Nothobranchius furzeri: one gene and its partner. The protein of the gene in region 2 interacts with the protein of the main gene of each other region in a pairwise test. Links are inferred from orthologs where the notes say so. Each region holds a gene or a part of one and is shown on either strand. Other genes may lie near its edges.

Region 1 (3,537 bases), on a different chromosome or scaffold from region 2:
TTAATATGATTCCCACTAAAAATTACAGAGCAAGCGTGAAGCTGACAGTTGGTAAAGAGCACCATCTAGTGGACATTCTTATACAGAGATGCTAAATATTTGAGTCTTCATCTGGAGCAGATGCTTCAAATAAAGCAGAACTTGTACCACTTAGTTACAGGAGGATCAAATCTCAAACTTAATAAAAAAATAAACATTAACAATGTGTATTTCCCCTGGCGATAGGGGGCATGAACTACTTTCATATGAAAACACATTTTTAGAAAAGGCACTTAGACCCACTCCCATGCATTTTAGACCTGATGTTTTATTCTTATATGTTACGAAGCTGCCAATGTATCAACAACTGGGCAATATTTAATTTTCAAAATCTTTGATGATATTTCCAGAGACTACCAGTAAAAACAACACATCGTCTCTTTAACATGGATCAAAATGTTTTAAATTCCTAAGGACCAGTTTGTTTTGTAACGAGAGCACATGTAATTTAGGCCAAATGTATTGGTTGTAGGAGTGTCAGTTATGTTTTCAAAATGTAACTGGAACCATAGTTGATTTTTGACCCAGTTTATTGTGAATTCCAACTGTAACAAGACAACATTTAGGAGAACTCACAGCAGGATCAGAGCACCATCTTTAACATGATGGGCACAAAGGACACTTGGAGGCTACAAACTAAAGTTTAAGGCCACTCCATATTTTCTTTGTTCCTTGAGGTTCTGCAGAGGCTGAGGCTCTTCGGAGACAATGAAGGATCACATCATAATTTCTTACAATTGATACTGGGCACACGTTGAATGAAAGAATGAATGGCTTCACACATATGAGGACATCTTTTTAAATTTTATCAGTTTTTCAGAAAAGTGTATTAATACCACCATAACTGACATCACAAATGTTTTGGGTTCACCAACATAGGTCATCTTTATCTCCTGTTTTCACACCAGCCTCTCTAAAATGATTGACCAACATGTTGGCATGCTTCTAATTCAGCACAATTACACAAGACTGAACATTGAATGAAACTTTGTGTCTTAATGGTCCTTTGGTGAGCAGTTTATTTCCATTACAGAAGACCTCTCAGTCAGATTGCCTGTTACAGGGTAAAAGCTGTGGTAAACAACAGCTAGATGGCGGTGTGAGGCAGTGTTTGTAACAAAACCCACTCCCCTCTTCCCCCACAATACACCCATCTGGCCATCTCCTGTACACGTTCCTTATTCTGTCACCTTCTGTCTTCCCCATTACGCCTTCTGTTTCTATTCCTCCCTCCTCTACTACCTCCATCTCTGACTCCCCCTCCACATTGCCACAGCTTTGCTCCGTTCTTTACAGACTGGCCACAGCCTGTGTATCTCCTCCAGAGGTTAGGAGCTGCATCAGGCTTCCTGAAGCTGGCCGGTTCTCCCCTGTGGCCCAGCCGAAGAACATCCTGCACCCAAACAAAAAGAGAAGCACTGTTCAGGAGGTTTACTCACACAGACAAAGCAATAAAACGCCAAATTAGGGTTAAGCTTTTTGGTAAAAAAAAAAAAAAAAAAAAAAAAAATCCAAGAAGAAAAATAGTAACATTTCCATAAAGACAATTCTAGACACTTTGGTATACAAAGCCAACTGTATTTGATGCTATATTAGCAGTATGTTTAGATATAAGAATGGTAAAAGGCTTGTATTTGTATTGCACCTTTGTAGGGTTCTACAACCCCCCAAGGCACTTTACAACACAATCTGTCATCCACCCATTCACACGCTGGTGAAAATGAGCTACAATGTAGCCACAGCTGCCCTGGGGCACAATGGTGGAAGCAAGACTGCCAAGCACTGGTGCCATCAGTCCCTTCGATCACCGCCAGCAGGCAAAGCGGGTTAAGTGTCTTGCCCCAAAGACACAACAGCAGCATTCTCTGACACCGGGATTGAACCTACAACCTTCTGATTACTAGACAACCCGCTGTACCTCATGAGCTACTGCTGCCAATAACATGACTGATTGTGACATATTTACATATTTTAGCCATAATTCTCAGGCTGTTTAAATGGATTTACGTGCAAACATCTTTCATTATGAATGGATTGGAGATCACATCAGAAACTATGACTTTAAACTTGAGTTTCTCTTTTTTCTGTGTTATTTCAGTCCAGGGATAGACTGATATACTGGTCGGCTGATATATCTGGCCAATATTTACTTTTTATATATATATATATATATATATATATATATATATATATATATATATATATATATATATATATATATATATCTCAGCATCAGCCAATATACCTCTTTAGAAGAGCTCATTTAAAAACAGGCCCACCTGTGGGCAGCATAGGACTTCTGCTGAATTCTATTTAAATGTATATTTATGTTCCAGAAAAGAAATCTGCTTGATAAATGCTTCGTCTTCGTCTTCCTCCGCTTATCCGGGTCCGGGTCGCGGGGGCAGCATCCCAACTAGGGAGCTCCAGGCCGTCCTCTCCCCGGCCTTGTCCACCAGCTCCTCCGGCAGGACCCCAAGGCGTTCCCGGACCAGATTGGAGATGTAACCTCTCCAACGTGTCCTGGGTCGACCCGGGGGCCTTCTGCCGGCAGGACATGCCCGAATCACCTCCCCGGGGAGGCGTCCAGGAGGCATCCTGGCCAGATGCCCAAACAACCTCAACTGGCTCCTTTCGATCCGGAGGAGCAGCGGTTCTACTCCGAGTCCCTCCCGAATGTCCGAGCTCCTCACCCTATCTCTAAGGCTGAGCCCGGCCACCCTACGGAGGAAACTCATTTCGGCCGCTTGTATCCGCGATCTCGTTCTTTCGGTCATTACCCAAAGCTCATGACCATAGGTGAGGATTGGGACGTAGATCGACCGGTAAATCGAGAGCCTGGCTTTCTGGCTCAGCTCCCTCTTCCCCACGACAGATCGGCTCAGCGTCCGCATCACTGCAGACGCCGAACCAATCCGCCTGTCGATCTCCCGATCCCTCCTCCCCTCACTCGTGAACAAGACCCCAAGATACTTAAACTCCTCCACTTGAGGTAGGACCTCTCCCCCGACCCGGAGGTGGCAAGCCACCCTTTTCCGGTCGAGAACCATGGTCTCAGATTTGGAGGTGCTGATCCTCATCCCAGCCGCTTCACATTCGGCCGCGAACCTACCCAGCAAGAGCTGAAGGTCAGAGCTGGATGAAGCTAGGAGGACCACATCATCCGCAAAAAGCAGAGACGAGATTCTCCTGCCACCAAACTCGACACACTCCACACCACGGCTGCGTCTAGAAATTCTGTCCATAAAAGTGATGAACAGAACCGGTGACAAAGGGCAGCCCTGGCGGAGTCCAACCCTCACTGGGAACAGGTCCCACTTACTACCGGCTATGCGGACCAAACTCACGCTCCTCTGGTAAAGGGACTGAATGGCCCTTAACAGAAAGCCACCCACCCCATACTCCTGGAGCGTCCCCCACAGGGTGCCCCTGGGGACACGGTCATAAGCCTTCTCCAAATCCACAAAGCACATGTGGATTGGTTGGGCAAACTCCCAT
Region 2 (3,755 bases):
TAGACATCCTGAGCTGGGGAGGAAATGCCTTCTAAAATGTGTAATGTAATATTTCCGTTATGATAACATTTGATGTGGTTCCGCGTTAGCTAAACTTCGCTCTTTGAGCAAACCAATCATCGAATTGCTAAACTATTTCATTTAGGTAAATGTCTAGCGTGTCGATTTAGCTAGTGTGTGCCACGAGTGATATTAAATAGCCTCTCAGGACTTAACAGCTTGCCTGGTATCAAGCTGACAAGGCACCACCTGCCTTGCTTCCTAGCCCAATGCACATATGGTAGTTTACTGATCGAAAGCAGCTGCGACCAATTCGTATGAGTTATTGAACCCACAGCCTAGACTGGCAGGAAATAAACCCTGTAATAACAACATTACTACACAAATTACGCCTCTTGGTTAAACAGTAATGTATAAGCAATTAAAATATTTATATTTATTGTTTGGGGGTATATTTAGCTTATTTAAACCTAAAAACAGCGCAAAATCATGTCTATTGTTAACCTGAGAGGGAAAATTGAGGGCAATAAAACACTGCTGCTCACAGAGACGCAGAAGGTGCGTTTGATCTATTAACCTTGTAGCACGGTGGAATAGTTGAATTTACACCTAATTTAAAACTTTACACACCACAAGTATGATTTCTGCCTTGTTCATAAAATAGGTGCGGGGCTGGAGTTATTTTTGCACATGATTGATCTCATTGATTAAAGGTTTTAATTCATCGTGCATAACAAAACATTAAATAACTCTCTGAGAAAATTACCACATAAATACATGAATTAAAAATATATAATAACAAAAGTGAAGAAGTGCCATATAATGCAATATGTAATATTTATTAATATTAAATATGATTCGGGAGGTGATTCTACGGACGGTGCAGTGTTACATTTTTAACCTCCCCAAAACGTAAAAGTAACGAGGATATGTCAGTCAAATCTGTGATTTTATTCATTCAAGCACAATGCTTACCTTTTATTTAATTTATTTTTACATTCTACAACAAGATGAATGCTAAGAATTAAATATTGAATGTTTAAAATATGCTCAGCTAAGGCGTTTGTATATTTTAGACATGATTCTTATCCCCCCATGCTAACATGTCAAATGGTTTCGTCCAAACTGGAACCGTCTATCAATAAATAAATAACAACAGCGCCTTTTGTTCCAAAATCGTGACTTTGTTTTGTGTCTTCAAAATTAAAACTTATTTTTACGTTTAATTTATTATAATTCTATAATTTGTTTTAATCATGATTAAAAAAAACGTGATTGTGTATAGGGTTAGGTAAGTAGGACACCCCTGTCATTACGAGGTTGCTCTTCCTGGCACTTCCTTGTTCAAAAGTTTTTTTTTTTATGGGAAGGCTCCAGGGGAGAAAGTTGGTCATCAGATTGTGTTTCTAACTTAAATTCTACGGTCATCTCTGAAGACGTGGACTATGCGTGTCGCATATTTTGATTTAACTAGCTACGGCAGCTGATTTGATGGGTGGTTTTTAACGACTGTCAGCGGTGAAAGGCTGGAGAAAGAGGAAGATGTCGATGGCTAACGTTAGCGAAGACATCCGAGAGAAGTTTCCTCTTCATTCCGCTGTTTGGGAGAATGATTTCAGGAAACTGGAGGAGGAATTACGATCGCTGCAGGTTAGTAGATGCGACGAACTTTTTATTATCCACACATCTGTGTTTTAGTGGTTAAACAAAACGAAACCGGAGTTAGCTGTTTGGTGGCCTTAGTTGAAAGTAGGCCATTGATGTTGACAGATGCTGCTGACACACACACACACACACACACACACACACACACACACACACACACACACACACACACACACACACACACACACAGTCTGAAATATTATAGATCAAACTGAGTGGTTCAAGGTTAACATCCTTCATAGACGTAATAATACAGACATGGGCGAACCATAAATGACACATATAACATGGGATAATAATATTTAAGAATATGTGTTTATTAGTTGTTTATTACTCATATATTTTTTATTTATTGCATCTAGTGTGAAATAACTGAGCACAAAATCAGCCTTATGATGTATTTTTATTTTAAAATCGTTAAAAGGCCGTATAAATCAGCGTTACTCACTCGTACCTGTAGTCTCTCTTGCATTGTGATACATTTTGTGTCGTATTGCCAGATCTTACCAATACACACCTCAAGTTTTCACAGTGTAATTTGCTCAGATCACCAACTATTAACATAGTTATTATATAGTGACTTGTATGAGAAACGTGCATGAAGCTGTTATTGTGGTAAGTACAGTCAGTCATTTACTATTATCAGCAAACGCTTAAATGATTAGTTAGATTGTTGTTTAGTTACAAATCCTGCACAAAATATACGTTTATCATCATCTGGTGTTTAACTATTTAAATTATCTGATATTTTTCCTCAGAATGAAATTGAGACTATGGACCCTAGGGGTCGGACCCCTTTGCACCTGGCTGTGTCCCTGGGACACCTGGAGACCGTAAGAGTCCTCCTGAGACATGGCGCTCAAGTAACTAAAGAAAATGCCCATAACTGGACAGGTTAGCTCTACACCTGAATAAGATGACAGATGAAATAACTCTCTGGGTTTCTTCATCACTTAGAACCCTTCATATATTTTTAATGGGATTTCTGATTTATGCATAGCACACTCTTTATTGTTTCGGTGAAACAGTTACTGTTGCAGTGAGGTTTTGTAATGGGGAATGTGCTATGTTGGTCCTTAAAAAGGTTTAGTGGTTTTCCGAACGCTTGTTTTTTGTGTGTAGTGCTACAGGAAGCGGTCAGCACTGGAGATCCGGAGATGGTTCAGTTAGTGCTTCAACGCAGAGACTACCTCAAAGCCTCCACTGCTCTGGGAGGAGTGCCTGAACTGCTGCTGAAGATCCGAGAGGTTGTTACCCATTCGTGTGTGTGAGCCTGGAAACAATTACCTGACAAATAAGCATGGGTCTGATTTTATTTATCTCCAGTCTCCAGACTTTTATATGGAAATGAAGTGGGAATTTACCAGCTGGAGTAAGTTTTTCTTTTATTATTATATTTTAGAAGTTTAGAGAAAAGGTTTCCCTGATTTGAACATTGATGTTCTTTTGTGTGCAGGGGTTTCCCTGATTCATGGTAATATCGGCTAAGTAGAGTTTATTTTGTTTTGTTGCCACCGATTACCCCAGTTGTGTTAATTAAGTCTCTATTGGTTCATTTTCTTTTGTGTAAATAAATGTGTTTAAGTTTAGCTTTTAACATCCCAGACAAGCCCCCATTTGTTACCCCAGGACCCCTCGATAGCATGGGTTGTAACAGTCATTCAAGTCAGAGGAAGCATTTCTAACGATGTAGCACCTGATGACTGGCTTAGAATGCTTCATCAGAGCCTACAGGTCAAAGGACATACCTACAAGTTTATCGAACCACATTCTTTTCATTGGGATGTTTTCTCACACGGTTGTTTTAGTTCCTCTTCTGTCCCGGATTTGTCCGAGTGACGTTTGCCGCATTTGGAAAAGTGGCGCCTGCCTGCGAGTGGACACCACTCTCCTCGGATTTGAAAACATGACCTGGATCAGAGGTCGCCGAAGTTACATCTTCAGAGGAGACGGTGTGTGTTTGAATCACAACACCAAAATCCCCAATTCTGTTTATGAAAGCTATTTCTGTAAAGGGCTGTTTGTATGCTGACAGAGTCATGTGCTGAGCTGATGGAGATGAACCACGATGATGGAGTTGTTGACGTCGA

Evidence for each region.
Region 1: the proteins of ankrd13a (region 2) and qdpra interact in a two-hybrid assay, tested with the Homo sapiens proteins (2 studies listed by BioGRID). The two-hybrid records come from large-scale screens. The link is inferred for Nothobranchius furzeri from reciprocal best matches to the Homo sapiens genes ANKRD13A and QDPR.

Annotation. Positions count from the first base shown.
Region 1 is NC_091741.1:74,699,004-74,702,540, forward strand, and holds the end of qdpra (dihydropteridine reductase), read right to left. Parts: intron 1,433-3,537; coding exon 1,330-1,432; 3' UTR 552-1,329; downstream 1-551. UniProt on the Homo sapiens protein: Catalyzes the conversion of quinonoid dihydrobiopterin into tetrahydrobiopterin.
Region 2 is NC_091757.1:45,582,092-45,585,846, forward strand, and holds the start of ankrd13a (ankyrin repeat domain-containing protein 13A), read left to right. Parts: upstream 1-1,370; 5' UTR 1,371-1,542; coding exon 1,543-1,650; intron 1,651-2,423; coding exon 2,424-2,559; intron 2,560-2,787; coding exon 2,788-2,912; intron 2,913-2,991; coding exon 2,992-3,037; intron 3,038-3,473; coding exon 3,474-3,617; intron 3,618-3,700; coding exon 3,701-3,755. Other genes in the region: ARF GTPase-activating protein GIT2a, read right to left, coding at 1-7. UniProt on the Homo sapiens protein: Ubiquitin-binding protein that specifically recognizes and binds 'Lys-63'-linked ubiquitin. Does not bind 'Lys-48'-linked ubiquitin.